Linked DNA regions of Callithrix jacchus. The protein of the gene in region 1 interacts with the protein of each later gene in a pairwise test. Links are inferred from orthologs where the notes say so. Each region holds a gene or a part of one and is shown in the gene's direction. Other genes may lie near its edges. The genes, in order: MTUS2, PPP1R18, CCDC60, C21H21orf58, FAM124B, SPG7 and PKP2.

Evidence for each region.
Region 2: the proteins of MTUS2 (region 1) and PPP1R18 interact in binary tests that used the Homo sapiens proteins (3 or more experiments, as listed by UniProt). The two-hybrid records come from large-scale screens. The link is inferred for Callithrix jacchus from reciprocal best matches to the Homo sapiens genes MTUS2 and PPP1R18.
Region 3: the proteins of MTUS2 (region 1) and CCDC60 interact in binary tests that used the Homo sapiens proteins (3 or more experiments, as listed by UniProt). The two-hybrid records come from large-scale screens. The link is inferred for Callithrix jacchus from reciprocal best matches to the Homo sapiens genes MTUS2 and CCDC60.
Region 4: the proteins of MTUS2 (region 1) and C21H21orf58 interact in a two-hybrid assay, tested with the Homo sapiens proteins (3 studies listed by BioGRID and IntAct). The two-hybrid records come from large-scale screens. The link is inferred for Callithrix jacchus from reciprocal best matches to the Homo sapiens genes MTUS2 and C21orf58.
Region 5: the proteins of MTUS2 (region 1) and FAM124B interact in binary tests that used the Homo sapiens proteins (3 or more experiments, as listed by UniProt). The link is inferred for Callithrix jacchus from reciprocal best matches to the Homo sapiens genes MTUS2 and FAM124B.
Region 6: the proteins of MTUS2 (region 1) and SPG7 interact in binary tests that used the Homo sapiens proteins (3 or more experiments, as listed by UniProt). The two-hybrid records come from large-scale screens. The link is inferred for Callithrix jacchus from reciprocal best matches to the Homo sapiens genes MTUS2 and SPG7.
Region 7: the proteins of MTUS2 (region 1) and PKP2 interact in binary tests that used the Homo sapiens proteins (3 or more experiments, as listed by UniProt). The two-hybrid records come from large-scale screens. The link is inferred for Callithrix jacchus from reciprocal best matches to the Homo sapiens genes MTUS2 and PKP2.

Annotation. Positions count from the first base shown.
Region 1 is NC_133506.1:148,703,450-148,707,184, forward strand, and holds part of MTUS2 (microtubule-associated tumor suppressor candidate 2), read left to right. Parts: intron 1-1,326; coding exon 1,327-1,425; intron 1,426-2,461; coding exon 2,462-2,581; intron 2,582-3,735. UniProt on the Homo sapiens protein: Binds microtubules. Together with MAPRE1 may target the microtubule depolymerase KIF2C to the plus-end of microtubules. May regulate the dynamics of microtubules at their growing distal tip.
Region 2 is NC_133505.1:35,475,682-35,479,416, reverse strand, and holds part of PPP1R18 (phostensin), read left to right. Parts: intron 1-1,055; coding exon 1,056-1,266; intron 1,267-3,128; coding exon 3,129-3,148; 3' UTR 3,149-3,735.
Region 3 is NC_133510.1:122,438,234-122,442,451, forward strand, and holds the start of CCDC60 (coiled-coil domain-containing protein 60), read left to right. Parts: upstream 1-1,208; 5' UTR 1,209-1,464; exon of another isoform or gene 1,465-1,551; 5' UTR 1,552-1,701; coding exon 1,702-1,791; intron 1,792-4,218.
Region 4 is NC_133522.1:51,899,832-51,904,275, reverse strand, and holds the start of C21H21orf58 (uncharacterized protein C21orf58 homolog), read left to right. Parts: upstream 1-1,610; 5' UTR 1,611-1,742; coding exon 1,743-2,010; intron 2,011-4,072; coding exon 4,073-4,146; intron 4,147-4,444.
Region 5 is NC_133507.1:146,128,785-146,133,193, reverse strand, and holds the start of FAM124B (protein FAM124B), read left to right. Parts: upstream 1-1,602; 5' UTR 1,603-1,878; coding exon 1,879-2,643; intron 2,644-4,409.
Region 6 is NC_133521.1:47,155,958-47,160,119, forward strand, and holds the start of SPG7 (mitochondrial inner membrane m-AAA protease component paraplegin), read left to right. Parts: upstream 1-1,149; 5' UTR 1,150-1,169; coding exon 1,170-1,352; exon of another isoform or gene 1,353-1,774; intron 1,775-3,821; coding exon 3,822-3,924; intron 3,925-4,162. UniProt on the Homo sapiens protein: Catalytic component of the m-AAA protease, a protease that plays a key role in proteostasis of inner mitochondrial membrane proteins, and which is essential for axonal and neuron development.
Region 7 is NC_133510.1:38,556,144-38,560,491, forward strand, and holds the start of PKP2 (plakophilin-2), read left to right. Parts: upstream 1-1,324; 5' UTR 1,325-1,370; coding exon 1,371-1,593; exon of another isoform or gene 1,594-1,946; coding exon of another isoform or gene 1,947-1,959; intron 1,960-4,348. UniProt on the Homo sapiens protein: A component of desmosome cell-cell junctions which are required for positive regulation of cellular adhesion.

The DNA of each region.
Region 1 (3,735 bases):
CTGTCTCTCATATATGTATGTGTGTGTGTGTGTGTGTGTGTGTGTGTGTGTGTGTGTGTGTGTGTGTATTATATATATGTATATTTTTCTTTGGAAGAATTCACGGGACACCCTAGTTTCCGTGTTTTGATGTTACAGAAATGGTGCTGTAACAGAGCTTTGGACTGGTCTGCATGAGTGAGACACGAAGGGTGAAGCGCTTCTTGGGCATCAGTGGTCCTTTGCCAGCCTGTGGTGTGGGGAGTCATGGGCAGGCTGAGTGGGACAGAGTCAGCGCAGGTGCATCTGCCCTGGGAGCTGGGGAAGGGGCATGGTGTCCCCATAGACACTCCTGCTTTCCTTCAACCTGCAGGTGGAGAGCCGCCAGCTGCCCCCCTAGCTGACGGGCATGGGAAGGCAGAGGGCTGGGAGTGCCAGTCTGGCCAGGGAGCGGGTCTCAGCAGGGAGGAGGAGACTGTGTGGACTCAGCTTCCATGTGAGCTCCTATCAGGGACATGAAACCCAGCTGTCAGGCCAGGAAGGCTGCGTGGGAGCCAGAATGAAGCAGGAGTGAGAGGCAGCTGGCTGGAGGAGGGCACTGCCAGCAGGAGAGCTGGCGTGAGAGGAGAGGGAGGCAGCGAGGCGGGAGGGTGCTGCGTTAGGGAGTGTACACGGCACCTTGAGGGCAGTGGGGTAGGAGGTCGGGGAAGGACAGGTTCCGCTTTGCACATTAGAAAGAGGGCTTGACTGCAGCGTGAGGGTAAAGGAGTGATACTTCAGGAGAAAGAAGAATCGTGTCAGGATGGAGCCAGCCGAGTGGCTGAGCTCAGGGGAGTCTGTGGCTTCTAGGGACATTCAGGAGGCAGGATAGCAGGGCTCGGTGGCCAGAAGGTTTGGTGATGTGAGAGGGATCCCAAGGCAGAGAAAGAAGTGAAGGAGGGTTGGAAGGGTTCTGGATTGAGCTTCATAAATGAGAATGATTCTTTGAAGTACCTTCACTGTGGTCCTTCCCAAAGCCAGGGCTGGGTGCCTCCTGGCCCAGACGCCTCTCCCTGAGGATTGTCTGCTTCTATAGGATCAGATGTTGTGAGATGCCCCCCGGTTCACAGTGTTTTTGTGGTTTCTTCCTGACAAAGAGCCAAGAAGGGCAAGCCACGGGTAGGCGTTGGGGGAAACCATGCCCATCATGTGATTTTGGGGGTCCCCTTGGGCACCTCTTTCTTCAGTCCCAAGGGAGACACTCTAAGGATGCTGAAGAAAGTGGTGGCCTGCTGATTGAAGCTGCCCCAGCTGTGGCAGCGGCAGGCTGTAGCGCCCCCAGCTGGACTCCTCATGTCATTACTCCAGGACCAGGTGGACACGCTGACCTTCCAGAGCCAGTCTCTGCGGGACAGAGCACGCCGCTTCGAAGAGGCCTTGAGGAAGAGCACGGAGGAGCAGCTGGAGGTAGTTTCGGGATTCCAGGCTTCCAGCCCCAGGCCACGGGACTCCCTCAGCAGTCTTGTCCCAAGACAAGGCCTCTCTGTGAATCCCTTGCTGAAGTGACAGCTGGTCACGACCTCCCCTGGATTTGTAAACAATTTCTGTCAGCACATCTCCCCAGAGTCAGACAGCAGCTGTGGATTTCTCCAGCTACGTGTTATTTTTGCCAAATTCCACAGCATTGCCCAGCCGAGGTTCCGGGGCCCCTGTGATCAGCATGGTCCGGCAACCCCCGACCCTTGCCCGACCACCCCTTCCATCTCATTCTCCCCCAGCTTTTTAGGCTGACACGGGCAGCCTTGGCTACAGCAGGAGTTAATAGGTTGAGGGGAATTTTTTTCAGGAAATCTGGCAAAACTCCTTCTCTCTAACGTAGGGTTGCCAAATAAGATACAAGACACGCAGTTAAATTTGAATTACAGGTAAATAAATTTTTGAGTCTAAGTATGTCCCAAGCAATACTTGTGCTCACTTTTTTAAAACGTGCTTTATCTGAAATTTGAATTTAACAGGACATACCATGTTTTAATTTGCTATATCCAGCAGCACTACTGTAATGTGTCTTTTTCCAAAATGGCTTTTCTGCTTCTTAAGCCACTCTGCTCATTTCCTGTGCATGGGCTCTTTATGGGTATAGGTGGGACCCAGAAGAGCCCCAGCTACCAGTCATCCAGGTGAATGTTAAAGGCTAGTGTTGGGTTTACTCTTTCGACCCATGAGTTCCCTGCTGGGCATGGGCTGGCAGCATCCAGCATTTCCGGAATCAAACTTCCCAGTGGACGATGGCTGTGTGTCACCTGCTCCCGCACAGAATGGGTTCCCAGGGGGAAGCAGCAGGACCCCTTCATCAGGGAAGACTGCGAGCATCCTCTGTCTTTGCTGTGCAATTGCTATTGGGGCGTTGGTCCAGAGGCTGGATTTAGCTGGATTAGTGATATTGGTTAATACTGGGTTTTGCCGGGAGCCCCGGTCAACATTTTATGGCTCTCTGCCCCTGTAGATTGCACTGGCTCCTTATCAGCACTTGGAAGAAGACATGAAGAGTCTGAAGCAGGTATTAGAGATGAAGAATCAGCAAATACACGAGCAGGAAAAGAAGATTCTTGAGCTGGAAAAGCTGGTGAGTTGGTCTGTTTGCATGGGAGTGACTAACCTCCATGACGCTCCTCCTGTCGTTCCTGATGTCATTGCTGATGGTGTTCGGCCAGGTGTGTCCCTTACCTGCCCATTGCTTATACCTAAGCAGAAAATCCCATGGCTGGCCTTTCCTGGGAAGCCAGGAGCTCTGATAAGAAATCTTAGAGGTGGCCTCACCTTGTCCAACTCTGAAACCTTCCTGACAGGCGGCCTCTTTCTGCTTCACCCTGGTTTTCTGGCAATTGCACTGTCTCTACACCCTGTCTTGGGGACATGTGGTGACCCAGCAGGATACAGCATCTCCAGTGCCCAGGCACTGCACAGAGCACTTTCCCTGAGTGAGCCTGCTCCTAACTCCGACAGCTGCCTGTGGAGCAGCTGCTGCCATGAGCCGCTTTACAGATGCCGGAGATGGTGCTAAGGAGCCCCTGCCCAGTGCTTCGAGTCCCCACAAGGCAGAAGGGGCCAGGGATCTTCCTGGGGCCCTTTTTATAAGGGTATTAATCCCATTCACAGGGGCTCACCTTCTGGATCTGATCCCCTCCCCAAAGCTCCGCCTCCTTGGGGGTTAGGTTTCAGCACAGGAATTTTGGGGGACACAAACATTCAGCCCAGAACAGCGTCCCTGCTCTCACTGACACTCACCCAGCTCAGCCCACCAGCCTGGCTCCTGCAGAGCTGGCAAAAGTCACCCCCTAGGGGACACAGAACACGCAGGATTTCACCCCCTACGCTGGGGCACAAGCATCCACCCCACCCCCCCATCACCCCCACCCTCCCTGGCCAGGGCTAGAGTCCCAGAAAGGTGTGCAAAGGGAGTGGCAGGGAAGCCTCCTTCCAAGGGCAGCCCATCTTGATCTGGAAGTTGGCCCCAGGATCTCAGATTCTTATTTTTTCCCTTTATTATTATTACTTTAAAAATACACTTTTGATACTACCAAAAATAATATATGTACTTTGGGAAACTATGAAATAAGATAAACCGAAGAAAAGCAGATTATAACATCATATTCCTACCAGTGCTTATACTTTCCAGAACTTTTTCTCTGTAAGGCAGTGTCTGTATGCACACACACACACAGCCCAGGTATTATATCATCTAAGCGTTTTATGTCTTTAATGTGCCATCTCAGGCAG
Region 2 (3,735 bases), on another chromosome or scaffold:
TGTGTACAGCTGGCCCCAAGTCTTCCCAACAGATGCCAGGGAAGGCCTGAGAAGATCATTTGGACCTTTCCAAGTAGTTCACATGGAATCCTCCTGCTGTCTCCCTAATCCCTTTGGCTCCTAGACTTAATCCCACCCTGCCCCTTCCCCCTGAGCTTCTTAAGAGGGCAAAGGGGAAGGGTAGAAAGGCAGTCAGAACAGCTGGGACTCTCCTGCTCTTGGGACAGTGTGATTACCAAGGGTTTTCTGTGCCCTATCTGGTCTTCTGTCTCTGTACCTGTCCCTTCGGACACACTGTCGACCCCCACCCCAGGTCTGTGTGGACTTTCCTTTCTGCCATTGTCATCTCCCCCAGCATTTCAGGGTTTCAGAGGCTCACCTTTCCCGTGTGTTGCAGAAGTCTCTTGGTTCCTCTGGGCCTTTCTGTTCGTCTCCCATCTCTTCCCAGGCCCTAGACCCCCTTTGCTATGGATAGGAGAGAGGAATAAGGGGAGTGGGAGGGAACAGGTGCCCAGGGTCCTGAGTTTTGCATAGGACAGCAAGGGGCTGTGGATATGAAAACCTTACTTTTGGCTGAGACTCACTCCCCAGCTAGTTCCTTCCCCACTGGCCAGCCTGCTGGCTCCTCCGGGAAATCTACTCCACTGCCCCAAGGTGCCCAAAGACTCAGTTCTGATCATAAGACTTGTTTCCATGTATTTTAATTTCTTTTTACCCCTCTGCCTCCCACAGTCGAAGGAGCAGGGACCTTGGTCCTATATTATTCACTCTGCCTCCCAAGCCCCTGCCAATGTACAGGGCAAAGTCTGATGTTTTGAAATGCTATGATCGAAGAGGGAAGCTCTAGGATTGGAGAGTCAGTATGGAAAGGAAAACTGGATCCCAGAGTGGATGGGGACAGTGAGTGGGGTGCTTAAGTCCAGCCCCAACACCATGTTCCACGTGTCCCACCTGCCCCCTTGTAGACTCCCCCTCAACCCCGGATTCCCCTGCAACCCCCCACGGGTTTCTCCCTCACTGACCTTGTCTCCTGCCCCCTTTTTTCCCTCCTTCAGCTTAAGATCTCCTTCAGCGAGACAGCCCTGGAGACCACGTACCAATACCCCTCCGAGAGTTCGGTACTGGAGGAGTTGGGCCCGGAGCCTGAGGTCCCCAGTTCCCCCAACCCCCCAGCAACCCAACCCGACGATGAAGAGGATGAGGAAGAGCTGCTGCTACTGCAGCCAGAGCTCCAGGGCGGGCTTCGCACCAAGGCCCTGATTGTGGGTAAGCAGAGGCTCCGCCGGCCCGAGGGCGCCCCCTGCTGTCAGATTGGGCGCTGTGGTCCAGGAGGGAAGAGAAGGGAGGGACTTCATGTAGGCGCTTGGAAGGGGCTTGGCAGGTCCTCTGGTCCAACCTGCTCCTTTAACAGATGAGCAAACTGAGGTCCCAGGAAATGAAATACACACTGAGTCTTCAGGTTTCAAAACCAGAACACTTCCCAAGTCCTGTAATCTGGTTAAAACCACAGGGTGGGTGAACAGGCCTGAGTTGGAATTTCAGCTTGTCTCCTAATTGTGTAATCTCAGAGAAACCGTCTGATCTCTGGCTTTAGTGTATTATTTATGAAATGAAGTTAATGATAACTACCTCCTGTGGCTCGTGCCTGTAATTCCAGCACTTCAGGAGGCCAAGATGGGTGGATCGCTTGAGCCTAGGAGTTCAAGATCAGCCTAGGCAACATGGCAAAATCCTGTCTCTACAAAAAAATACAAAAATTAGTCAGGTGTGGTGGTACACAGTTGTGGTTCCAGCTACTCAGGAGGCTGAGGTGGGAGGATCGCTTGACTTCAGGAGTTGGAGGCTGCAATGAGCTGACTGCAGTGTACCACCACTGCACTCCAACCTGGGCAACAGAGGAAGACCCTGTCTCAAAAGAAATAAACAGGCCTGGCACAGTGGCTTACACCTGTAATCCCAGCACTTTGGGAGGCCAAGGCAGGTGGATCACTCAAGGTCGGAAGTTCAAGAGCAGCCTGGCCAACATGGTGAAACCCTGTCTCTACTAAAAATACAAAAATTGGCCAGGCATGGTGGCTCATGCTTACAATCCTAGTACTTTGGGAGGCCAAGGCGGGTGGATCACCTGAGGTCAGGAGTTCGACACAAGCCTGGCCAACATGGTGAAACCCCATCTCAAAAAAATAAAATAAAATAAATTAAATAGGCCAGGTGTGGCGGCTCACGCCTATAATCTCAGCACTTTGGGAGGCCGAGGTGGGTGGATCACCTGAGGTTAGGAGTTCAAGCCCAGCCCAGCCAACATGGTGAAACCCTGTCTTTAAAAAAAATAATTAATTAAATAAATAAAAATACAAAACTTAGCCAGGCATGGAGGTGGACACCTGTAATCCCTGTTACTTGGGAGACCAAGGCAGGAGAATCCCTTGAACCTGGAAAGCAGAGGTTGCACTGAGCTGAGATGGTGCCAGTACACTCCTGCCTGGGCAACAGACAGAGACTCCATCACAAAAAAAAAAAAAAAAAAAAAAGCTACTTCCTGGAGTTGTTGAAAAGAAAGTTATTTATTTATTTATTTGAGACAGACTCTTCCTCTGTCATCCAGACTGGAATCCAGTGACACAATCTCGACTCACTGCAACCTCTGCCTCTCAAGTTCAAGTGATTCTCATTCCTCAGCCTCCAGAGTAGCTGGGATTACAGGCATGTACCATCACATCTGGCTAATTATTGTATTTTTAGTGGAGATGGGATTTCGCCATGTTGGCTGGGCTGGTCTTGTACTCCTGACCTCAAGTGATCCTCCTGCCTCAGCCTCCCAAAGTGCTGGGATTAGATTAAGTAATTTTTGTGAAGCGCCGAGAGCCACAGCTGGATATCAAATTACTTACTCTTTCCTGGAGTTATGGTAAGATTAAACAGTTGGAAGGATGCCTGGCACAGAGTTCAAGCTAAATGAGAGATGGATGATGTTATTGGTGGGAAGGTGCTTTAGATATGAAAGCTATTATAAGACTTCCTGCATGCCAACTGCCCTTCAATTTGTGTGCGGGGGCGGGGGGGGGAAAGGAGGGCAGGAAGTAGAGGCTCTCACTCATTCTCTGTCATTATTGCCTCCTCTCCCATAGATGAGTCCTGCCGGCGGTGACCATCTTCCAATATAGGGATATACGTCCCTCCTTCCTATAACTGAAGATCCTGGAGCCTGGAAGATTCAGGGCAGACAGACCCTAATAATGAGCCTGGCAGGGAAGGGCAACCACCGTCTTCTAACTTGCTTTCCCCACCCTGTTTCTGGGGGCAGAGCCAATTGCCCAATTTCTACCCTAATCCGAAATCCCTAGTGTGGGTGGGGTTAAACGTGCTGGTGCATCCTAGGTGATCCAAGAGTGAGCACCAAGTCCTGAGAAGGAGCACGGAACTCCCGGAGGGTGGAGATGGAGCACCTGCCCCCGCCCCCGTGGCAGGGTACGCTCTTCCCATAGCCTTCCTCCCCACCATCCCGTGGGGGATCTCAGGATTTAAGCACTCGTTTCTCTGGGAGGCCCAGACCCCATTCCATTTATAGACACATCTCCTTTATTTCCTAAGTCACTGCCCCTTTGTTTACAGTTCCTGCCTCCTGTCTTGACCACAGCCTGGTTTACAAATTCCACCAGCTCCCAGCTCCACCTGCCAAAGTCCCAGGTTTACAAGCCACACTTACTTGCTGTGTCTGCGTGGAATTCTCTCCTC
Region 3 (4,218 bases), on another chromosome or scaffold:
CAAAGTTAGGCATCTAAGTGCTTACAAGCTTGGTCTTTAGACTCAAACCACCCTGGCTTTGAATCTCAGCTGCAGCACTTGTGTGACTTTAAACATGTCATTTAATGTCTCTATGCCTCAGTTGCTTAGTCTGTAAAATGGGGTAATAAAACACCTTCTTTAAAGAGGTGCTGTATGGATTGAGTCAATATGTGTAAAACACTTAGAACAGTGTCTAGCACATCCTAAGCCCTTAATAAATGTCATGTGTACACATGCCTCCACATACAAATACATCTATACACACATATACATGTGTATATATGTATATTCACATTTGTGTGTATATGTATATGCATGTGCATATATCTATATATAGCAGTCCCTTTTCTTTGCTCCCACATTACCCTATGATACTACCCTACTATGATAATACCCTATGATAAATCACCCTGCTTTATAACAGTATTTCTTATCCTTTGTTCTCCAGCCCAAACATACACAATATACATCGTGAGATTCTTGAAGGCGAGTCTCTTTTGTGGTGATGGTGGTGGTGGTGGTGGTGGTTTGAGATGGAGTTTCGCTCTTGTTGACCAGGCTGGAGTGCAATGGCGCGATTTCGGCTCACAGCAACCTCCGCCTCCTGGGTTCAAGCGATTCTGCCTCAGCCTCTCGAGTAGTTGGGATTACAGACACACACCACCATGCCTGGCTAATTTTTGTGTATTTTTAGTAGAGACGGGGTTTCGCCATGTTGCCCAGGCTGGTCTCGAACACCTGGCCTCAGGTGATCCGCCCGCCTCGGACTCCACCGGCTGAAATACCAGTATTTCTTTTTATAAAATGAAGGGGTTCTGAAGGATGAATAGGAGTTTGTCAGGTGGAAAAACGGGAGAAATAGGCATCTAGGGTTAAGAATTACAGGATTACAGGCCACCCACCCCACGGCACAAAAATCACTAGTGGGTTAGCAGTAGGACAGAGCAGAGTTTGAAAGCAAGGAGTCGCTTGTAGTCAGAGAGAAAGTGTATGGTCCTCAGGCCTGAAAAGAGAAACCAGTTGGTCCAGAGAATGCGGCTGGCTCGGGGGCATCGGGCCTCATCAGGCAGCTGAGAGCCGGCGGCGTCCCAGCAACCTGGGAGAGTTCACGACCCCCCACGACCACGCCCCCACCAATTCCAGCCAATGAGGAAGCTCTCCTTGGCGTCCCGTTGCCAAGCAACCACGTGTCTCTCCCCCGCCCCCCGCGGGGGTTAGCAGTTGCCTACCTTCCCCACAGAGCGATAAGCCCCTCTTTAGGGCCGCCTTAGTTCTCGGGCGCTCTTGGAGGATGGGGATCTGGGAGACCCTCCATGGGACTCTCCCGCACACTTTGTCGCTGGAATTTTATGTTTTTTAGTTCATATTTATTTTGCTTATAGAAAAGGAAGATACCCCTTCCGAAGACGAGGAAGCTTACAGAAGTTTATAATCTTTCAAAAAGTAATCCCAGGCTCGCCTTATTCTGCTCTAACCGGACTTCCTTATCCCGTCTGTGGGAGACCCAGGTGCTTTCTCATTACTTCTCAGATGGAAACCGTTTTGGAATTCGTGTAATTGGGACCTGGGGATCAAGGAGAAGTTGCCGGAACCTCTCATAGCAGTGGCTGCTGAAGTAGAAGATTCTAGAAAAACCCTTGCCTTGGAGACGCAGGCTAAAAAGCCTGAACGATTTTTAAGATGACCAAGTTTCCAGCCACCAAAAAGCTTCAGAGTTCCCCCAACGCGGGGGCTGTCCGGCCCTTTTATGCCTCGGAGAACCTAAAGCAGGTAAGTCTTCCCTCTCTGCGGAAACCAATCATGTCTTTCAGAGCAAGTGAAATAGGAATTAGCCTCGATACCAACAAGGAAGAGAGGGGAGAGAGGGGAGTCATGGAGTAATTAAATTGTCGAGACACATCCCCGTTGCTATCAATGGTTGGTTTCTCGTAAAGAATGAAAACGCAAACCAGAGCGGTGAGCTGGGCCATCCTATTAGCCAGTAATTCCAGAATGATGGAATAAATCAGCAGTGACACTGTAGAACATCAGGAAAAAATTAAGATAAATTGAAGGTTTGCCGTCCGCAGAAACTTACTCTCAGAGATCTGTTGGTCTCGGGGAACAGGCACATCCCCTCTCTCTATGAAGAGGCTCTAGAGTGTCAACTTTTGGGGTTTGAAGGCTAGGTTTGCCACGCACCAGCTGTGTGACTTTAGACAGGTTAATTGCTTAGCGTCTCTGAGGTTTTATTTCCTTGTGTCTATGAAATTAGAACAGGAACATCAATTTAGGAGCAGTCTGAGGACTAAATGGAATAATTTATGAAAATTGTCCATTGTGATGTTAACGCTGGATAATGTGTTTATGGGACATGGAACAGTGTTGTTGATTTGAAAAGCAAAGAAAAATCGATATGTACTGAGTGACTGGAGTCAATGGTTCCTGTTTTTAAATGATCATAACTGGGTAAGCACAACTCTAAGTGTGCACTTGTTATTGTACCCTCACACCCCACTTTGCGTGGATTGGCCAAGGTCAGCAATGCTGGTCCACCCTGGTGCATCCACAGGGCACACTTGTGGTTCACGGCCATGCCCCAGGAAGGAGGGCCTGGCGGGTGGTCAGTCCATGACGGAGAGCTTAAAACTCACTAGTGGCTAGATGTGGTGGCTCACACCTGTAATCCCAGCACTTTGGGAGGCTGAGGCAGGCGGATCATGAGGTCAGGAGTTTGAGGCCAGCCTGGCCAACATAGTGAAACCCCATCTCTACTAAAAATAAAAAAAATTAGCTGGGTGTGGTGGTGTGTGCCTGTAATACCAGCTACTCAGGAGGCTGAGGCAGAAGAATTGCTTGAACCCAGAAAGCGGAGCTTTCAGTGAGCCAAGATCGCGCCACTGCACTCCAGCCTGGGCGACAATGCCAAACTCCATTTCAAAAATAAATAAATAAATAAATTGCCAATGCTCTCCATGTGGTACAAAACGTTCCCGAGCTGCTCTTCTCTAAAGTTTAACCTATCTCTGTGTACTCCTCATTACTCAGCACTCTTAGGGAGACCACTCTGCATGACTGCATGATACAGCCTTTTTCCATCTCCTTTCATCTCAAAATACTACCCAGAAGGATGTTCAATCCCGAGTAAACCCTGCTGGGACTGAACTTCCCAGCATAGCAGTGGGGGAATGAATGAGGGATAAAATGAAGAAGGAAATGGACGCTTCAATAGCAAGGGTGAGCATCAAAGCAGGAGCAGCAGACAGAATCACCCTGGGTTTGGATCTGCCTCTTAGCAGCCCTGTGGCCTTGGGCAAGTTGAGCTTCAGTGTTGCCATCTGCAAAATGGGGATATCATAGTTTCCTCATGGGATTGCTGTGAGCATTAAATGAGTAACTGTATGCCAAACGCTATGAGCACAGTTCTGACATATGGGAAGCACACGTTAGGTTTTAGTTATATTGTCATTTCATTTATTTAGTAAAGATTTATTGAACCTCCGTTAGGTGCTAAACACTTGCTCTAGTTAAAAATGAGACCTGCCTTTGAATCTCACAATCTATAGTGTGTATGCTTGGGACTGGGAATAAAAGAGATAAGAAACATTGTTATAATGCAGGTTAATTAATGGTGTGTTGAGGAAGTATCAGAGGGTGTTGTGGGAGCAAAGAAAAGGGATAGCTAATTTAGATTAGTGTGTGTGTGTGTGTGTGTGTGTGCGTGCGTGCATGTGTGTGTGTGTGTCTGTATGTTGGATTTGGGGAAGAAACAAGCCATGTACTCAAATAAATGCAATAGGTTTTTCATCCTGGCATACACAGAGAGATGTAGAGAGTGGAGGAAGATGCGGAACTTGAAATGATCATCTCTTTCTTCGGAGGAGAGTAGTGGGACTCAGGGAGGTCAAGGGATGGGAAGAAGGCTTCTGGGGAACTGTTGGATAGACCAAGACTTCCAGCCCAAAAGCCTCATTGAAATCTTTCTGCACCCCTCTCTACTTTCTAGAAAATAATGAAGACCCCAGGGGGTCCCTAGCTCACATTCAAAAGATCATGCCTTTAGGAATTTCAAGGTTTTAAAGCTATAGTAAAGCAATGATTAACCTAATCTAGGGTTACTAGAAAGTGACAAGCCTCAAGCAAACATGTAGAGATCAGGATTTTGATCTCTACAGTCATGCAGAGTAATTGCAGTCATGATGATGATGATAATGATAG
Region 4 (4,444 bases), on another chromosome or scaffold:
GACTGGAGGGAGGGTGAGGCCTGGTTTCATGCTGCCTTCATTTCTGGTTAGATGGCCTCCAGGATAAGGTGAATTGAACTCTATAACAGGGTAACCTAGCCTCTCCAGGGCCAACAGGTGGGAGGTGAGCCCCTCTGAGGATCTCTTCCATGAACTTCCTCTGTGAGCATGACCTCCTATGGGCTGGCCGGCCTTCACCCTATCACTCACTGGTCCAGCTCCAGGCGCCCCACATGGATGTGGGTTGGGAGACAGGACAGGCACACAAGCATAGATACTGATGGGCATGGCCATTTACAAAACTGAGGGCAATTTTGGCCACTGAGGCAAGTTTCTGGGTCAGCTGCACTGAGGAGGGTGCTAACCTCCGACCCTCTGGTCCACAGGTCTGGCCCCCTGCTGCTGACATCCCCCAGATGTCAGTCTGCTTGCTTAGTGGGATTGACTAACTCGTCAATGTGGAGTTTAATGCCCAGCCAAGTGCAGACCACACTCCTGACTTGTGTCTGCCCTTTGCGAAGCTTCCTGCACACCTGGCTCCTTGCCTGGTCCTGCTGTAGCCCAGCCCCTCTGCAGGTCACAACCACTTCTCTGTCCCGCCCCTTTTGCTGCTGGAATTTCTTGAACAACTTGGTAGGCAGTCTCCCCACCCTGTCCTCCCAGTTGAGGAACTGCCCTCCCTCCTAGCTTGGAGGGTCCCTAGGAGGGGAGGAGCCGCCATGTCCTAGAGGCAGTGCACAGAGGTGGGGCGCCCTCCCCTGACACACAGGCTCTTCTGGGCTGCGTCTTGAGGCTGCTGGTGCATGGGGGTCAAGGCTGTCCCCTTCCCCTAGGTCTGAGAGCTCTGCCCCTCTGCCTCAGCTGCTGCCAACTTTTTTGCCTTCCCACGAAGCCCAGCCAGCCACACCTGGAGATGAGTGTTTGCAGGTAGCAGCCTAAGGACGCGAAGTGGAAACCTGGCAACCTGGGGCCTCCCTGCGTCCGGCAGCCTGGCAACTGCCATGTGGAGCCCAGCCCTGGCTTGTGGGGCACTGCAGTCCAGGGAGGCTGCAGCTCTTCTCTCCCCTGGGGCTGGTTTCCAGGAGGTTGGGCCAGCCCTGCAGGTGACACTGGTGCTTGGGCTCCTGCTGAGCAGTTATCTCCTGCGAGTAGCAGAACCAGGGAGGGAGGCGGGCTGCGGCCTTCCCTGCCTGGTACTGTCATCCTGTAGCTCCCACCATGCTGGACTCAACAGCAGCAGAGCAAGTGACGCGGCTGACGCTGAAGCTCTTGAGACAGGTAAAGCAGAGCCTGGGATGCTCCTGTTTTTAACAACTCCAGGCTGCAGCATTGGAGGGACTCTGAGACAGCCCTGCAGGGGACCCATCCTCAGACTGGGTGGCACATGAACAGCCTGCCTGTCCTCCTGGCCCACTGAGCACAGGGTCCAGGGGAGCCTTGGTGCTGGGGGCTCCTCTGCACCCCCTGCCTGCATTGTTCCCCCTCCTGCTGCCTGAGGGACCTGCTGTCTGCCTTTTGCCAGCCCTGCGCTCCACACCCTGCATCCTGGCCCACTGCCACCGTGGGAGGGACTCACCCTAGGACATATCCAGCAGCTAGCTGCTCAGCTCAGGGTCCAGGTGGGGGTGATCCAGGCATGCCCTGGCTGGGAAGCCTGGAGGCCTCACCAGGTCTCTCCCGGGGTTGCTCTTCAGAAATCTGCCTGAAGGGGCCACTCACAGCATCTATCCTTAGACCTGCAGATGGGGCATTTGCTGGAGGTCAGGCTTACAGAGGCAGCTCACAGAGGAGATCCTCGGAGGGGCTCACCTCCCACCTTTGGCCCTGGAGGGGCTGGGTTACTCCTGACGTACAGTTCTATTCACTCAGAAAGCCTCTTAGTCATTCCTGGAGCACACAGGGCCTTTGCCTGGAGCCAGTGTCCCTGTCACGGTCTCTTTTCCTCACAGAAGCTGGAGCAAGAACGGGAGAATACGGAAGGGGGGCCTGAGGGCCTCCACCTCGAGCCAGGTGAGAGCGCTGGGCTGCTTGGAACCAGCACAGGCGGGCGCAAGTATACCTTCTCCAGGGAGGTGGGCACAGCAGCTCCGGGAATCACCCCACTCCTGGTATAGTGAGACTGTCCTTAATTCATTTCCTTTACATTCAGACTTGAGGACATCCCCATGCCTTATCACCTTTAGTCTGCAGACCCCAAAAGGGGCCCCACTTTGCAGATGAGAAAATGGAGGCAGAGAGAGGTTGGCTGAGCTGTCTGGGGTCACTCAGCCTGTGCTCAGCCTGTAAGTGGTCACACCGGGTCAGACCCAGATGCTCTGGTTCCAGAGGCTGAGCTTGCCCGTTGGTTGGGGTGGGGTTGCTGTCCTCACTGCTGCCTGGAGACCTCTGGGGAGGAGGTGAGGAGGCCAAAGGAACATTTCCTGTTCTTTGAACATGGGGCAGCCTGTGACCTGTAGGGGCAGCTGCCAAGGGCAGAGCTCAGAGTCTCAAATAGAGAGAAAGTCCCAAACCAGGTCTGCACAGCCAGTGAGAGGTGACAGAATGGCAACCAGTGCCTGGGGCAGAGGGTTTGGGGAGCCCCAAAGACTGACTGGGGTTTCCAGGAGCCCCGCTCCAGTGTGATGCTGGGTGAGGGGCAGGACCCTGCCCCTCGCCTTCTGGAGCCTTCTCTTGAGTGCAGACCATCCCCCAAGGCGTATAGACTTTTTTGTTTTTTTGTGTTTTTTTGAGACGGAGTTTCTCTCTTGTTACCCAGGCTGGAGTGCAATGGCGCCATCTCGGCTCACCGCAACCTCCGCCTCCTGGGTTCAAGCAATTCTCCTGCCTCAGCCTCCTGAGTAGCTGGGATTACAGACGCGCACCATCATGCCCAGCTAATTTTTGTATTTTTAGTAGAGACGGGGTTTCACCATGTTGACCAGGATGGTCTCGATCTCTTGACCTCATGATCCACCCGCCTCGGCCTCCCAAAGTGCTGGGATTACAGGCTTGAGCCACCGCGCCCGGCTGACTTTTTTGTGTTTTTGAGAAGGAGACGCGCTCTGTCACCCAGGCTAGAGTGCAGTAGTGTGATCTCGTCTCACCGCAACCTCCACCTCCTGGGTTCGAGCAATTCTCCTGCCTCAGCGTCCCGATTAGCTGGGACTACAGGTGCGCGCCACCATGCCCAAAGTGCTGGGATTATAGGTGTGAGCCACCGTGCCCGGCTGACTTTTTTGTTTTTTTGAGAAGGTGACATGCTCTGTCACCCAGGCTGGAGTGCAGTGGTGTGATCTCGACTCACTGCAACCTCTGTCTCTCAGGTTCAAACAATTCTCCTGCCCGGCTCACTTTTGTATTTTTAGTAGAGACGAGGTTTTGCCATGTTGGCCAGGCTGGACTCAAACTCCTGATCTGAAGTGATCCGCTCACCTCAGCCTCCCAAAGTGCTGAGATTACAGGTGTGAGTCACTGCACCTGGCCAGTGTGCTGAGACAGGGTTGGTCTCGCTCTGTTGCCCAGGCTGGAGTGTGGTGTGGCATGCTCATAGCTCACTGCACCCTCGACCTCCTGAGGTCAGTCCTCCCAGCTCAGCCTTCCAGTGTTGAGATCACAGGCAGGAGCCACCTTGCCCAGACTGAGGGGCAGACTAGAGGGACTTGCAGACACTTGGGGGTCAGACCAGACTCTGGACTGCTTGGGGCCAGAGGGTGGCTCCAGGTAGCCAAGGTCAGGCTGCAGCCAGCCCCGTAGAAGCCTTGGCCTCCTGGAGGCCAGGGACTCTGTACGAAAGGTACTCGGGAGGAATCTGGCCATGTGACTTCAGCCTCCCTTCCAGGAATGAGGTGACCACAGGCCAGACTCTGACACTTGAGTGCCCTGGGTTGCCCCTGCCCTGATGCTGCCCTTGCCCTCTTACCCAGCACGCGTCCCTCTTTCTCTGGGATAACCTGAGCCCAGGAGCCTCCCAGCCCGCCCCTATCCCAGGAGAGTGGGTGAGGCGGCGCATTCCACACGGGTGCAGTGCTGTCCGAGTGCTTGCAGCAACAGCCTGTGTGTGTTCTTCCGTGAGCAAGCAGGTGTTTCCCTCCAGGAAATGAGGACCAGCTGGATGATGCCCTGCAGACTGCTCTGAAGAGAAGGAGGGAGCTTCTGCAGAGACTCCAGGTGAGCCCTACACCGCTGAGCAAAGCCGGCAGGGCTCACTGTGGCGGAGACGGCTGCTCAGGTCGAGGGTGAGGGGAAGACCTTTCTGGACTCTCAGGGCCGGGCCCTAGCAAGGCCACTGTTAGCTTAGAGACCCTCCTGAGTGCAAGTTTCCATCAGGGCTGGAAATGTTGAGTAGGAGGACCTGGAATGGTAGGATGCCAGGAGGTTTGCTCCCATGGCACTCACCAAAGATGCCTCTGAGTGGCAGAGATGCCCAGGAGGTGGGGCCTCTTTACTAGCGGGAAGATCTTTGCAG
Region 5 (4,409 bases), on another chromosome or scaffold:
AAGATTATTCCATTTATGGTTCAACAGCTCCAGTCTCCAAATCTAGGTCCTTAACCAGAACTTGCTTTTGTATCTTTTCCTTACAAGAAGGAAGAAAACCCAGGCTGGGATTTCAAGGCCCCAGAGAGGCAGTGCAGCAAATTTCTGGGTTCAAATCTTCCCTCAGCTACTTCTTAGCTGTGAGAACTTGGGCAAGTTACTTAGCCTTTCTATGCTCCAGTTTCTTCATCAATAATTTGGGGCTAGTAATCTCTTCTTCATAGGTTTATTGCAAGATTAAATTAATTTACATTAAGGGCTAGGCTCAGTGACTCATGCCTGTAATCCCAGCCACGTGGAACTGTGAGTCCATTAAATCTCTTTTTCTTTATAAATTACCCAGTCTTAGGTATGTCTTATAGCGATATAAATATGGACTAATATGGCTGGGTGTGGTGACTCACGCCTGTAATCATAGCACTTTGGGAGACCAAGGCGGGCAGATCACCTTGAGGTCAGGAGTTTGAGACCAGTCCGGCCAACATGGCAAAACCCATTCTCTACTAAAAATACCAAAAATTAGCCAGTTGTGATGGCACATCTGTAGTCCCAGTTACTGGGGAGGCTGAGGCAAGAGGATCTCTTGAACCTGCGAGTTGGAGGTTGCAGTGAGCCAAGATCATGCCACTGCACTCCAGTTTAGGTGATAGAGTGAGACTCCTTCTCCAAAAAAAAGTTTACATTAAGAATTAGAACAGTTTATGACTGGTACATAGTAGATCCTCAATAGACACTAAAAATTATAATTCTTAAGTATTTATTACAATTACATGAGCAATTATTGGAAAGCTCTCACTCTTTCTAAACAATTTACATGAATAGCTGGGTGCAGTGGCTCACGCCTATAATCCCAGCACTTTGGGAGGCCGGGGTGGGCAGATCACCTGAGGTCAGGAGTTCAAGACCAGCCTGGCCAACATGGGGAAACCTTGTCTCTACTAAAAATACAAAATTACCTGGTGGTGGTGCATGCCTGTAATCCCAGCTGCTCAGGAGGCTGAGGCAGGAGAATCCCTTGTACCCGGGAGCCAGAGGTTGTGGTGAGCCAAGATCATGCCATTTCACTCCAGCCTGGGCAACAAGAGCAAAACTCTGTCTCAAAAAAAAAAAAAAATTTTTTTTGCATGAATAAAGGAAGACTTATTTTCTCAATGTCTTTTTCGTACACTCAGAATTGTTAGTAGAGCAAATAAGTTTCAGTGAAGTCAAAATTATTGAGATAAAATACCTTCTCTTCATGCCCTAGCATAAAATGTTCAGAAACCAAATGAAATAAAGAGACAAAGGAAAAAAACCTTGGCAAGAGGTCAAGTTTTGAGCATTGTTTTCAAGAGATCATTGTATTCAGACTGGCTGCACAGGCTACTGTAAACCCTAAGTAGGAAGTGAGAGCCCGTTGTGCTGATAAAATGGCTGTCTTTTCAACTCAACAGATTGCTATCAGCCTGACAGAGCCAACTCCTGTTCCTTTTTACCGGGTCATTTCCTTTACTCACTGTCTGTAAGAGCCGCCCACTTGGGTGTTTCTCAGGATTATAGGTTTTGAGGTCACACTGAAACCCTGGGGAATGCCTGAAAAGCCAAACACAAGCGGTTACTTTATGCACAAGCTGGATGATGTGATCCCACTGCTGCCGCGTGGAGCGGAGGCTGCTGAACTTGAGCTTGTGTGAGCTGCTCTTATGGCAAGTCCGTGGGTGGCCAGGAGCACATGTCAGTCTGGTTAAGAGCTCTGCTCAGAAGTAGCCGCTGCAGCTGAAGGTTTTCGGGTGGGCTGAAGGCTGGGCTGCTCCTTCATTCATTTCAGAAGTTAAACAGTGGCCTGTTTAACTTCTTCGCATGCCATCTTTGTCATCGCCAGGCAGTTCCTCCATGGATGAGACACAGGGGCCTCTGGCCATGACTGTCCATCTTCTTGCCAACTCTGGGCACGGTTCGCTTCTGCAGACGACTCTGGACCAGCTCCTGGATTGCATTTGCCCAGAGGTCCGGCTCTTTCAGGTGTCTGAACGGGCCAGTCCTGTGAAATACTGTGAAAAGTCCCACTCCAAGCGGTCCCGGTTCCCAGGGATGTCCGTCTTGCTCTTTCTGCCCAAAAGCCTGGGAGAGGATCGGCTGTTTCACATCCTGGACTCTCTCCAACATTCGCCATGGCAGTACTACCCCACCCAGGACACTCGGGGAAGGCCGTGTCCCTACCTTCTTGCCAATCAGGAGTTCTACAGCCTGGACAGCCAGATGCCCATCTGGGGGGTGAGGCAGGTGCACTGTGGCTCTGAGATCCTAAGGGTGACGCTCTATTGCAGCTTTGATAACTATGAGGATGCCATCAGACTCTATGAGATGATCCTGCAGAGAGAAGCCACCTTGCAAAAGAGCAATTTTTGTTTCTTCGTGCTCTATGCCACCAACAGCTTTGCTCTGCAGCTCTCCCTGAAGCAGCTGCCCCCAGGAATGTCAGTGGACCCCAAAGATTCTTCGGTGCTGCAGTTTAAAGTTCGAGAGATTGGCCAGTTAGTGCCTCTGCTACCCAACCCATGCATTCCCATCAGCAGTACCAGGTGGCAGACTCAGGACTACGATGGCAACAAGATTCTGCTTCAGGTATTTCTGTTTTGTCTTTGTGATCGTGTAGCGGCTCATGGAGCTGTGTCATTTTACATCAGAAAGGGCCTAAGTTAGTGCTTCCCAGAGTCGGTTGCACTTCCACGTTTTTCAGGGGCTTTCAGAAATTCCCACCCCAGGCCAGTTTGATTGGAATCTCTGGGAGCATCCAGGCCTAGGAAACTTTTTTACAGCTACTTGGATGATTATAACCTGTAACAGGGTGGAGAGTCACCGATCTCGTAAAATCTCATCTGACAGATAAGAAAGTTCAGATTCCAGGAATTGGCAGCTGACACAAGTACTTTATAGTAGAATCAGACAGGATGCGACTATAAAGATCAGAATCTTTATAAAGAACCAGCCTCCTTTCTCAGGCTTGCCGTGTAAATGCCAATCAACTGTACCCATATCCTTTGCTTACCCTTTGAGCTCAGGAATGTCATAAATTCTTCCCATCTGACTAAGGAATTTGAAGTCATACTTATGTTTAGAGATGGTTTAATTTTTTTAATTTTTTAATTCCCTTCTCCTGATTGTACATTTTTTAATTTTTAAGAGATGGGAGTCTTCCTCTGTTGCCCAGACTGGAGTGCAGTGGTGCCATCACAGCTTTCTGAGATCTCCACCTTCTGGATTCAAGCGATCCTCCTGCCTTAGCCTCCTGACTAGCTGGGACTACAGGCACATGCTGCCATGTCCGGCTAATTTATTTTATTTCTATAGATGGGGTCTCGCTATGTTGACTGAGCTTGTTTAGGGATGTTAAATTAGCAGTGCTATTGACTTAATTTTTAAGCATCTTGCATTACTGTGAAATTTTACCACGCACCAAATTAGATAGAACCCTTTCTGAAAAAAAAAATTTTTAATTAAAGCCTTCCTTTGTAACCATCCTTGAAAACCTAATGCAGCATGTGTGTATTTAATCATGACAGCTGTCATGCGTTGCCTTTCATGGTATATGAGCCTGACCACTTAGTAGCTGTATGACCAAGGGCCTAGGTTTCTTCATCAGCACAATAAAGGCAAGGCAGAATTACCATCTTCCTCTCCCATATTGATTTACAGTAAATGACCTGACACTTACAAACTGCATAATTAAGACAGTGCCCAGAACTCAATTGGAGCTATTGTTCATATTATGCCCTATACTTAAGATTTTAAATTGATAATTTTATTTAATAAACACTTATAACAACCTATGGAGTTACTATTTTTCCCATTTTGGAGTTAAGAAAATTGAGCTGTACAGGAGGTCAGTTATTTGCCCAAGATAGGAAGTGTCTATTAATCTTCAAAGTTCATGTGGCCAGCCACTGCAGTCCCGTGGATGTGTGTAAATGTGTGGGCAGAGGGATGAATGTGATGTTCACGGCAAAATATCCTGTGGCTTCTCTCCTTAAGAAATGGTCAGAGGCCAGGTGTGGTGGCTCACACCTGTAATCCCAGCCCTTTAAGAGGTCGAGGTGGGTGGATCACCTGAGATCAGGAGTTAAAGACAAGCCTGGCCAACATGGTGAAACCCCAGCTCTACTAAAAATACAAAAAATTAGCTGGATGAGGTGGTGTGTGTCTGTAATCCCAGCTACTTGGGAGGCTGATGCAGGAGAATTGCTTGAACCCGGGAGGTGGAGATTGCAGTGAGCCAAGATCGCACCATTGCATTCCAGCATGGGAAACGAGCAAAACTCTGTCTAAAATAAAAAAAGGAAATGGTCAGAAACTCCTTAAGGCCTATCTGGATAAAGTAATAAGAGACTACG
Region 6 (4,162 bases), on another chromosome or scaffold:
CCGAGGAGGAGGAGGAGGAGAACCGCAGCCCGCTGGCTTTGCCGTCTAGTCCGCGGCGGTGGAGGGAGCGCAGGCCCAGATGCGAGACCGGCCTCGAAACTGTGCACTGACTTCGGAGCTGTGGTCCTGGGCTAGTTACTCTGAATGCGTGTGAACCTGTTTCCCCGTTTACAGAAGAGCCGGGTTCCTGCCCGGCTGTGTCGGACGCGGGCCGGGCACTCGGATGCCGGCTGCCGCGCGCACGCGCCGTCCCGGGTTCGGGAAACAAGCGTGAAGGTGCGTGAGTCTCCTCCACGTGCAACAGACCGCGCTAGTCTCCGCTGTTCCTACTCCACGGCCAGGCAGCTCCCGGCGTCAGCTCGGGACCTCAGGCGGACGGACGACGGGGCGGGGGACCTGGGAGCCCACGAGGGACCCTGCCCGGGCCTGGAGTGCGGACCCCGAAGAGAACAGAGCCTTCTTCCCGGCTTCCGGGCAGCGCCTCCCCGCTTCCCACGCTGGGCTCGCGCAGCGCCCGGGACAAACCCTGACCGGACTCCCGGGGCACGACGGGGGCCCGAAGCGCCTCCGAGGAGAGTCGGTCGGAGCGGACGGGGCCCGCGCTCCGCTCAGAGCTCCGCGCACTCCAGCCAGGCCGCGCCCCGCCGCGCGCTCCCCGCCTCAGGACCCGCCTCGTCCGGGCTGCCCTTCCTGGATCGGCTGCAGCTCCGGTTCTCGTCCTCCGGCTGCTCAAGAAGCGGGAAACCCGCCCCGTTCCTGCGCTTCTCAGCCCGAAGGGGTGATTCGGACCCGCGACGTCCGCCCGCGCCTGTGACGGAGCCCTGCGGGGGACCAGGCTGCCTGCGAGGGCGGCCCCTCGGCGCGGGCGGAGCGCGACCACGCAGCCAGGACCCGGCCAGTTATTCACCCGCCAGGCTCGGAACATACAAGGCGGGCGTCAAAAACCAACACGGCAGCCGCGGCCCCCCACTAAACCGGCCCCGCTGCTGCAGGGCCTCAGGCGGCTGCGAGAGAGCCCGGCTAGCACGGCGGGTGGGGCAGGCGGCACCCGGTGCGCAGGCGCCCGGTAGGCCCCGCCCACACAGCGCAGGCGTCCGGTAGGCCCCGCCCACACCGCGCAGGCGCCCCGTGGTGGCCCGCGGCTCGCGCAGGCGCGGCTTCAGGCCAGCATGGCGGCTGTGCTGCTGCTGCTCCGCGCCCTTCGCCGGTGCCCTGGTCCGGGTCCTGGGCGGCTGTGGGGCCCAGGCCCGGCCTGGAGTCCAGGGTTCCCCGCGGGGCCCGGGAGGGGGCGGCCGTACGTGGCTAGCAGGCCTCCGTGGGGCCTCCCTGAGGCTGGAGGCCAAGCCGTACAGGTAAATCTTCGCGGCGTCCGGGCCCCACCTCCCGCCCCGCCCTTTTGGCGACGATCTGCTCGGTAGCGCCGCGCCGGGAGGGTCGGTGTCAGAGGCCGCCTGGCCCCTGTGGCGGGGGAGCCTGCGCCAGTGGGCCCGCGAGTCCTCCAGCTGCGCCCCGTCGGCGTCGGGAAGGCGTCTGGAGGGGAGCCGGGAGCGGACCTGGAGCGTGGGCACTGGACGGGTTGGGAAGGGGCAGGACTGGGATCCGCGCAGCCCTCGGCGTGGGCTTTCCCACCCCTTCTGTTGTGTTTGGGTATTTTCCCCCCTCTCTCTGGGGTTTTTGTTGTTTGTTTGTTCTGGCTGCAGTGCAGTGGCCTGATCTCACTGCAACCTCCGCCTTCCGGGTTCAAAGCGATTCTTCTCAGCCTCTGGAGGAGCTGGTAGTAGACGCGCTTTTTTTGCATTTTTAGTAGAGACGGAGTTTCACCATGTTAGCCAAGACTGATCTCGAACTCCTGACCTCAAGTGATCCGCCTGCCTTGGCTTCCCAAAGTGATGGGATTACAGGCGTGAGCCGCGGCTCCTGGCCCTCCCTCGTCTTTTAAAGTGGAATCCGGTAACAGTTTCCCGCGGATCAATAATTTACAGTCCGCACCTGTGGCTGGATTCAGTCCCCCCCAGGAATCCCAGCGCCTTCCAGTTATGGTGCTCGATGCCGAGTGGCCGGCCCAGAAAGTTTCTGTGTGCGCAGAAACGCTGTAGTTGCATTTTGCTGTTGCAGTTTGGAACCATACTGACACAAAGTCATTGAGCACCCCCTGTGGGGAAGCCTTGTTTCAAGTGCTGCGAAGTATACCATCTCCTCCCGAAAACCAGACTCTGAGTCTTGATCTTTTGGCCTGATGCTTTTTCTCCTATCCTTCTCCTGGGAGCTTACTTAGCCCACACATTTTCGGTTGCTGTTTATTTAGTTATTTTTGAGACAGAGTCTGGCTCTGTCGCCCAGGCTGGAATGCAGTGATGGGATGTCGGTTCACTGTGGCCTCGACCTTCTGGACTCCAGTGATTCTCCTACCTCATCCTCCTGACGTGAAAGGCCTTAGCGAGGCATGGGCCACCGCACGTCTCTAACTTCTGTATTTTTTTTTTTTTTTTGAAAAGATGGTGTCTCCCAATGTTGCTTAGCTTTGCCGCTGATCTTTAGAACTTAAAACACATTTAAATGGGAAAATGTTTATCTTGAAAGGAGGTCGTTGAAAATACATACTTGTTAACTGGTTTAGTACCTGGAAATGTTCTGCATGGAGCCACTCTCTGGTGACAGCAGGAGCACAGGGTCTTCGCAGCCACTGTGGCCTTTGGAGAGCTGGGATGGTCCCTTCTCCCGGCAGAAGCTTCAGGCCATGCGATAGCAGCCAGTACCCTGCTGTGTTTTGTTTTCTTGAGTTGCCCAGGCTGGTCTTGAAGTCTTGAGCTCAAGCAGTGCTCCCAACTCGGCCTCCCACAGACCTGCGCCACTGTGCCTGGCCACTACTATGGTGGTTTTTTGTGTGTGTGTGTGTGAGACGGACTTTCGCTCGTTACCCAGGCTGGAGTGCAATGGCGCGATCTCGGCTCACCGCAACCTCCGCCTCCTGGGTTCAGGCAATTCTCCTGCCTCAGCCTCCTGAGTAGCTGGGATTACAGGCACGCGCCACCATGCCCAGCTAATTTTTTGTATTTTTAGTAGAGACAGGGTTTCACTATGTTGACCCAGGATGGTCTGGATCCCTTGACCTCGTGATCCACCCGCCTCGGCCTCCCAAAGTGCTGGGATTACAGGCTTGAGCTGCCGTGTCCGGCGCCGTTTTTGTTTTTTTGAGACGGAGTCTCCATTTGTCTCCCAGGCTGCAGTGCAGTGGCGCCATCTAGGCTCACTGCAACCTCCCCTTCCAGGTTCAAGCAATTCTCCTGCCTCAGCTTCCTGAGTAGCCGAGATTACAGGCGTCTCCCACCACACCTGGCTAATTTTTGTGTTTTTAGTAGATCTCAGGTTTCACCATCATGGCCAGGCTGGTCTTGAACTCCTGACCTCAGGTGATCCAGTCATCTAGGCCTCCCAAAGTTCTGGTATTACAGGCGGGAGCAATCTCTCCTGGCCAACTACTGTGTTTTAACCTGTTTGCTTGCTTTCGACATTTTGATGTTACCTTAAAGCTTTGAAATACTGCGTAGACTGTTACCTCATTTTTCAGGGCAGTGTAGATATTACAAATAATTATATGTTTGAACTTTTAAAAGTGATTTTTAGGCTGGGCGCCGTGGCTCATGACTAATCCCAGCACTTTGGGAGGCTGAGGCAGGTGGATCACCTGAGGTCAGAAGTTCGAGACCAGTCTGGCCAACATGGTGAAACCCCATCTCTTAAAAAAAAAGATTTTTAGTCTGTGTTGCTTTGGTATTTTGTTATGTTGGTGTGACCTCTGGTATTGGGATTTTTTTTTTCAGAGCTTACAGTTGCGACTGCTAACCCCTACCTTTGAAGGGATCAATGGACTTTTATTGAAACAACATTTACTTCAGAATCCGATCAGACTCTGGCACCTTTTAGGTATGTATCTGTTGAAAGAAGCAGCTGAGCATGACATTGCAGGCCTGTATCCCACTACACTACTTGGGAGGCTGAGGCGGGAAGATGGCCTGAGCCTAGGAGTTCAAGGCTGATGCTGCTACTGTACTCCAGCCTGGGTGACAGAGTGAGACCCTGTCTCTGAACAAAAAAAAATACAGAAGTGACAAGGCAGATACTGTTTTCTTTTTTGTTGTGTTTCAGAGACGGGACTTGGCTC
Region 7 (4,348 bases), on another chromosome or scaffold:
CATTCAGTGTGTGTCTAAGGGCAGAAGAGTGTGGGTAGGAAACCAGAGACGAGGGAACCTGCGTTCCCCAAACACTCCAGACTTGAATAAGTGGGGTTTTGCAGCAATTGAGTGATTTGAGGGAAAGTGAACATAAAAACCCAAGCCATCAAAGGGAAGATTATCTTACTTAATACCAGTGATACATGTTTTTCTTTCTGCCTCTTAAGTCCAAAGAGGAAAATCAAGACAAGTGGCTTTGGTTGTAAACTTTAAGGTCAAGGATCCTTTCTGTTGAGCTTAGCTCTCAGGTTCTCAGTAGTCAACTGTGTGTGAAACATAATTAATAGCACGATAAATACAAGTTGTGGAAGATTCGACTAAAAGTTGGAGGCCCTCTCCATGGATATCTCTGCAAAGAGCCTGTCATAAAGAGGACTTACTCAACGTTAGCAGGCCTATTTAAAAAAGCATCGTCCATTAAAATTCATTTCTTCTCCAGAGCCTCTTGTTGGAGTTTCTCTGTGTGGGTGTGTTCGTAAGAGAGGAATGGGTGAACCAGTTACTGGGTACAATTTGTGTATCTTCAAGAGAAAACAGCTCTCAATGAGGAAGAACATATGTTTCTGGGACTGCATCTGTGCAAAAAGTACATCGTCCTGAAGTTGTACTAAGAAAAAAAAAACAAACCACACTCTTAAAAAGTCTTTTATTTCACTCATGTCATCTTCTTGGCACATTTCCCCTCATATTGCCCTTTCCGCCTGAGCAAATAGCCCTTTCTTACCCTCAGGTCCAGCAAAACCAGGAAACGTGTCCAACAGTCCGACAAAGCCTGACTAACCAGACATACTACTCACTCGTGGATCCTGAAGACAAGCCTCAGTCCAAGAACAGCAGTAACTCGAGGGCGCACCTGCCTGCAAGGCAGCCCCTCCCTGTATCAAGCGGAAATTCATCCTGCCCAGCGCCGGGCGTGGGCAGAGCGGAGCGCAATCCCAGCAGGCTGTATCCGCCGGGACTTCGACCACGTGCGCGACCCCGGGCGAACCGCGCCCCTCTCCCCACCTCCCCGCGGGCGGGCGGGCTGGTCCAACTCACCAGGTGTCCGCGCGCGCGCAGCGGGGCCCGCCCCCGCCCCGCCCCGCCCCCAGGCCCGAGTGCGCGTGCCCGGCCGGAGCCGCGCCCCCCTCCCCAGGGAAGCCCGGGCGTTCGGCCCTCGAGGACGAGCTCCCCCAAGCCCGGGCCTCTCACCGGCGCGGGGGCGGGCCAGGGGCGGGGCCGGGGCCGGGCGGGGCGGGGCGGGGCTCGCGCCAGAGCCCCCAGCTCCGCCGCTGCTTCGCCCGCGAGTCCTGAGGCAGTCGAGCGGCTTGGTCGCCCCCACCGACCCCATGGCAGCCCCCGGCGCCCCAGCTGAGTACGGCTACATCCGGACCGTACTGGGCCAGCAGATCCTGGGACAACTGGACAGCTCCAGCCTGGCGCTGCCCTCCGAGGCCAAGCTGAAGCTGGCGGGGAGCAACTGCCGCGGCGGCCAGACGGTCAAGAGCCTGCGGATCCAGGAGCAGGTGCAGCAGACCCTCGCCCGGAAGGGCCGCAGCTCTGTGGGCAACGGTGAGTGGAGCCCGCGGCTCCCTGGCGCCGCCTCCTGGCCCGCACCCCGTTACCCCATCCTATCCTGCCCTCACCCCACTTGCTGGGAGTGCAGAACCTGGTGTTCTGCCCACCTGTTGCTCGCCGCCCTCGGTATGACGGGTTTGCTTGTGGAAAGCACTCTTTTCCATAACCTGTTACTTAGCTTTGTCATATAGGTACATATGTATGTTAAATATTGTACATATCTGTCAATGTTAAAGAACTCACTTGGAAATTTAACCCCTTTCTTTTTCTACTCCGCCCGTCCGCACCCCTCGCTGGTGCGGACTGAATTTGGAGGTTCAGGGAGTCGAGCAACACCTTGAGATGCTATGCAGAATTTTGGTATGTACTATCTTTTTCTGGGAGAAGGAGCCCTTCTTCACTTTTATTAGATTCTTTAAATAGTTAATGACCCCCATAAATATCTTGAAAAAGAAAACCCGACAGCACAGGTGCTCCTACAACCTATAAATTGGGATTGTGCTGTTTTGTGCAAGTACTTCGGGGCGCTCCAAGTGTAGGAGGCGAGTGGTGGATCTAAGGAGTGAAAAAAGTGGCTAGGAGGCTTTGGTCCTGGGAACAAACACGCCCAGGAGAAAGGGGACTTTGGCCCTGCCGGCAACACCCCTGCCCTCCTGGCTGCGCTTCCCACCCCCACCAATGCGGGCGTGGTGCAAGGCTGACCCTCCAAAAAATTAAACATGGAGGTGAAAGGGGTGTAAGCACACACACGCATACTATGTCTGTGATCGATAGACGGGGGAGGTGGAAGGGCAAGAAGATGGCAAGCCACTTGTGAAAATTAGGGAACATGATGTATCCTTTTCTCCTCTGCTAAAGTCAGGTGATCGATCAACTCAGTAACTCTTGTTGTGCGTGTGAGTTTGCATTATAAAAGCACTATGTTGGCTTACTATAGCAAAAAGTTTTAAAGAAGAGGAAAGAAATTGAGTAATTAAGTTGGAATATCTGTTTCCTCCATGTTCAACTGTTTCTGTATGAAGTAACTTGTGCATTGGTGAATGTAGGCTAACCCATTCTAATTTCTATTAGGAAAATAGAAAAATCCTAACAGGCCAGACCACAGTTTTAGAACAGTAGAGTCTGGGAGGCTATACTGTTTATATAAACGAATCCTAAAGAATCAGGTAGTCAATGATTATATATTAGAAAGGTATAGAGAAGATGTTCAAAGATTGTAGTTAATATAACTGAGTGCCTACTATGTGCCAAGAACTGGGCAATGTAGTTTGCATTCATTTTATATGTGTGTGTGTGTGTGTGTGTGTATTAATTTTATATATATATATATACAGTTTGTATTTAAAAACTTGTAATGAGCTAGGTATTTCAATCCTCATTTTACAGATAAGGAAACTAAGCAGTTAAGTAACACTTAAGTTCTCATAGATGGTAACTGGCAGAGTTGGTATTTAAACTCCCAAACGTGAATTTTAAACCTCTTAGCAGTTTTATCATTAAGTTTTAAAATTATTAATACAAAATGGGATTTATTAGATGCTAAGCCTCTCGGTGGCCCCCTTCCATTTTTCTCTAAATAAAATTTAGGATGTTCTGAAAAGCTGGGGAGGTCTAGACAACACAGAACTGCCACAATACCTGGGGGGGAAAGACCTTAAATTTAGACTTAGGTGTCTGACCAAAGACTACGGGATGACTGAGGCCAATCTTTGACCCGTGGAGCCATTACACCCATTCAAACTAAAACCAAACCAGCTTCCTCCACGTGAGGAACACAGGAGGCATGTTAGTTATTCTTTCTTATCCTTTGAGAATGGCCAGCCAGGAAGAACAAGCAGATACAACTATTCCTAAATGGAGGGAATGGAGCCATGAACAGAAGAAAAGGGAATGTTGCTGGGCATCTATATACTTTGTGCCTATTCCAGAATCTTTATTATATCCTTAAAACAATTGTGTGAGATAGGTATGAGAATCCATCTCACATATGAAGTATTTGTCTGTCAGCATTTGTTGGAAGTGTAATCCCAGCTCCATACATAATCTGTTCTCTCTACAGTATAATGCATCAGTTGTGTGGTGAATTCAGCAAGCATCAGATGAGCATGTTCTTCATACAGGGTACTGTGCAGGTGCTGAATTAAACACAAAGACTCTGCTTGCTTTAAGCAAGAAGTTGAAAGTCTAAGGAAGGAGGCCAACCTCTAGAAAAATACTTTACCAAATAAAAAGTAGTAAGTGACCCAAAAGAATAGCTAGTGTATTATGGAGTTTAGAAGTATAAATTGTTTGGACGTGGTAGTTCGTGTCTGTAATCCCAGCACGTTGAGAGGCTAAGGTGGGTGGATCATCTAAGGTCGGGAGTTCAAGACCAGCCTGACCAACATGGAGAAACCCTATCTCTACTCGGAATACAAAATTAACCAGGCATAGTGGTGCATGCCTGTAATCTCAGCTACTCAGGAGGCTGAGGCAGGAGAATCTCACTTGAACCTGGGAGGCAGAGATTGCAGTAAGCAGAGATTATGCCATTGCAATCCAGCATGGACAAAACTCCTTCTCAAAACAAAAAACAAAAAGCTCATGCCTGTAATCCCAGCACTTTGTGAGAGTGAGGTGGGAGGATCATGAAGTCAGGAGATCGAGACCATCCTGGCCAACCATGGTGAAACTCCATCTCTACTAAAAATAAAGAATTAGCTGGGTGTGGTGGCATGTGCCTGTACTCCCAGCTACTCAGGAGGCTGAG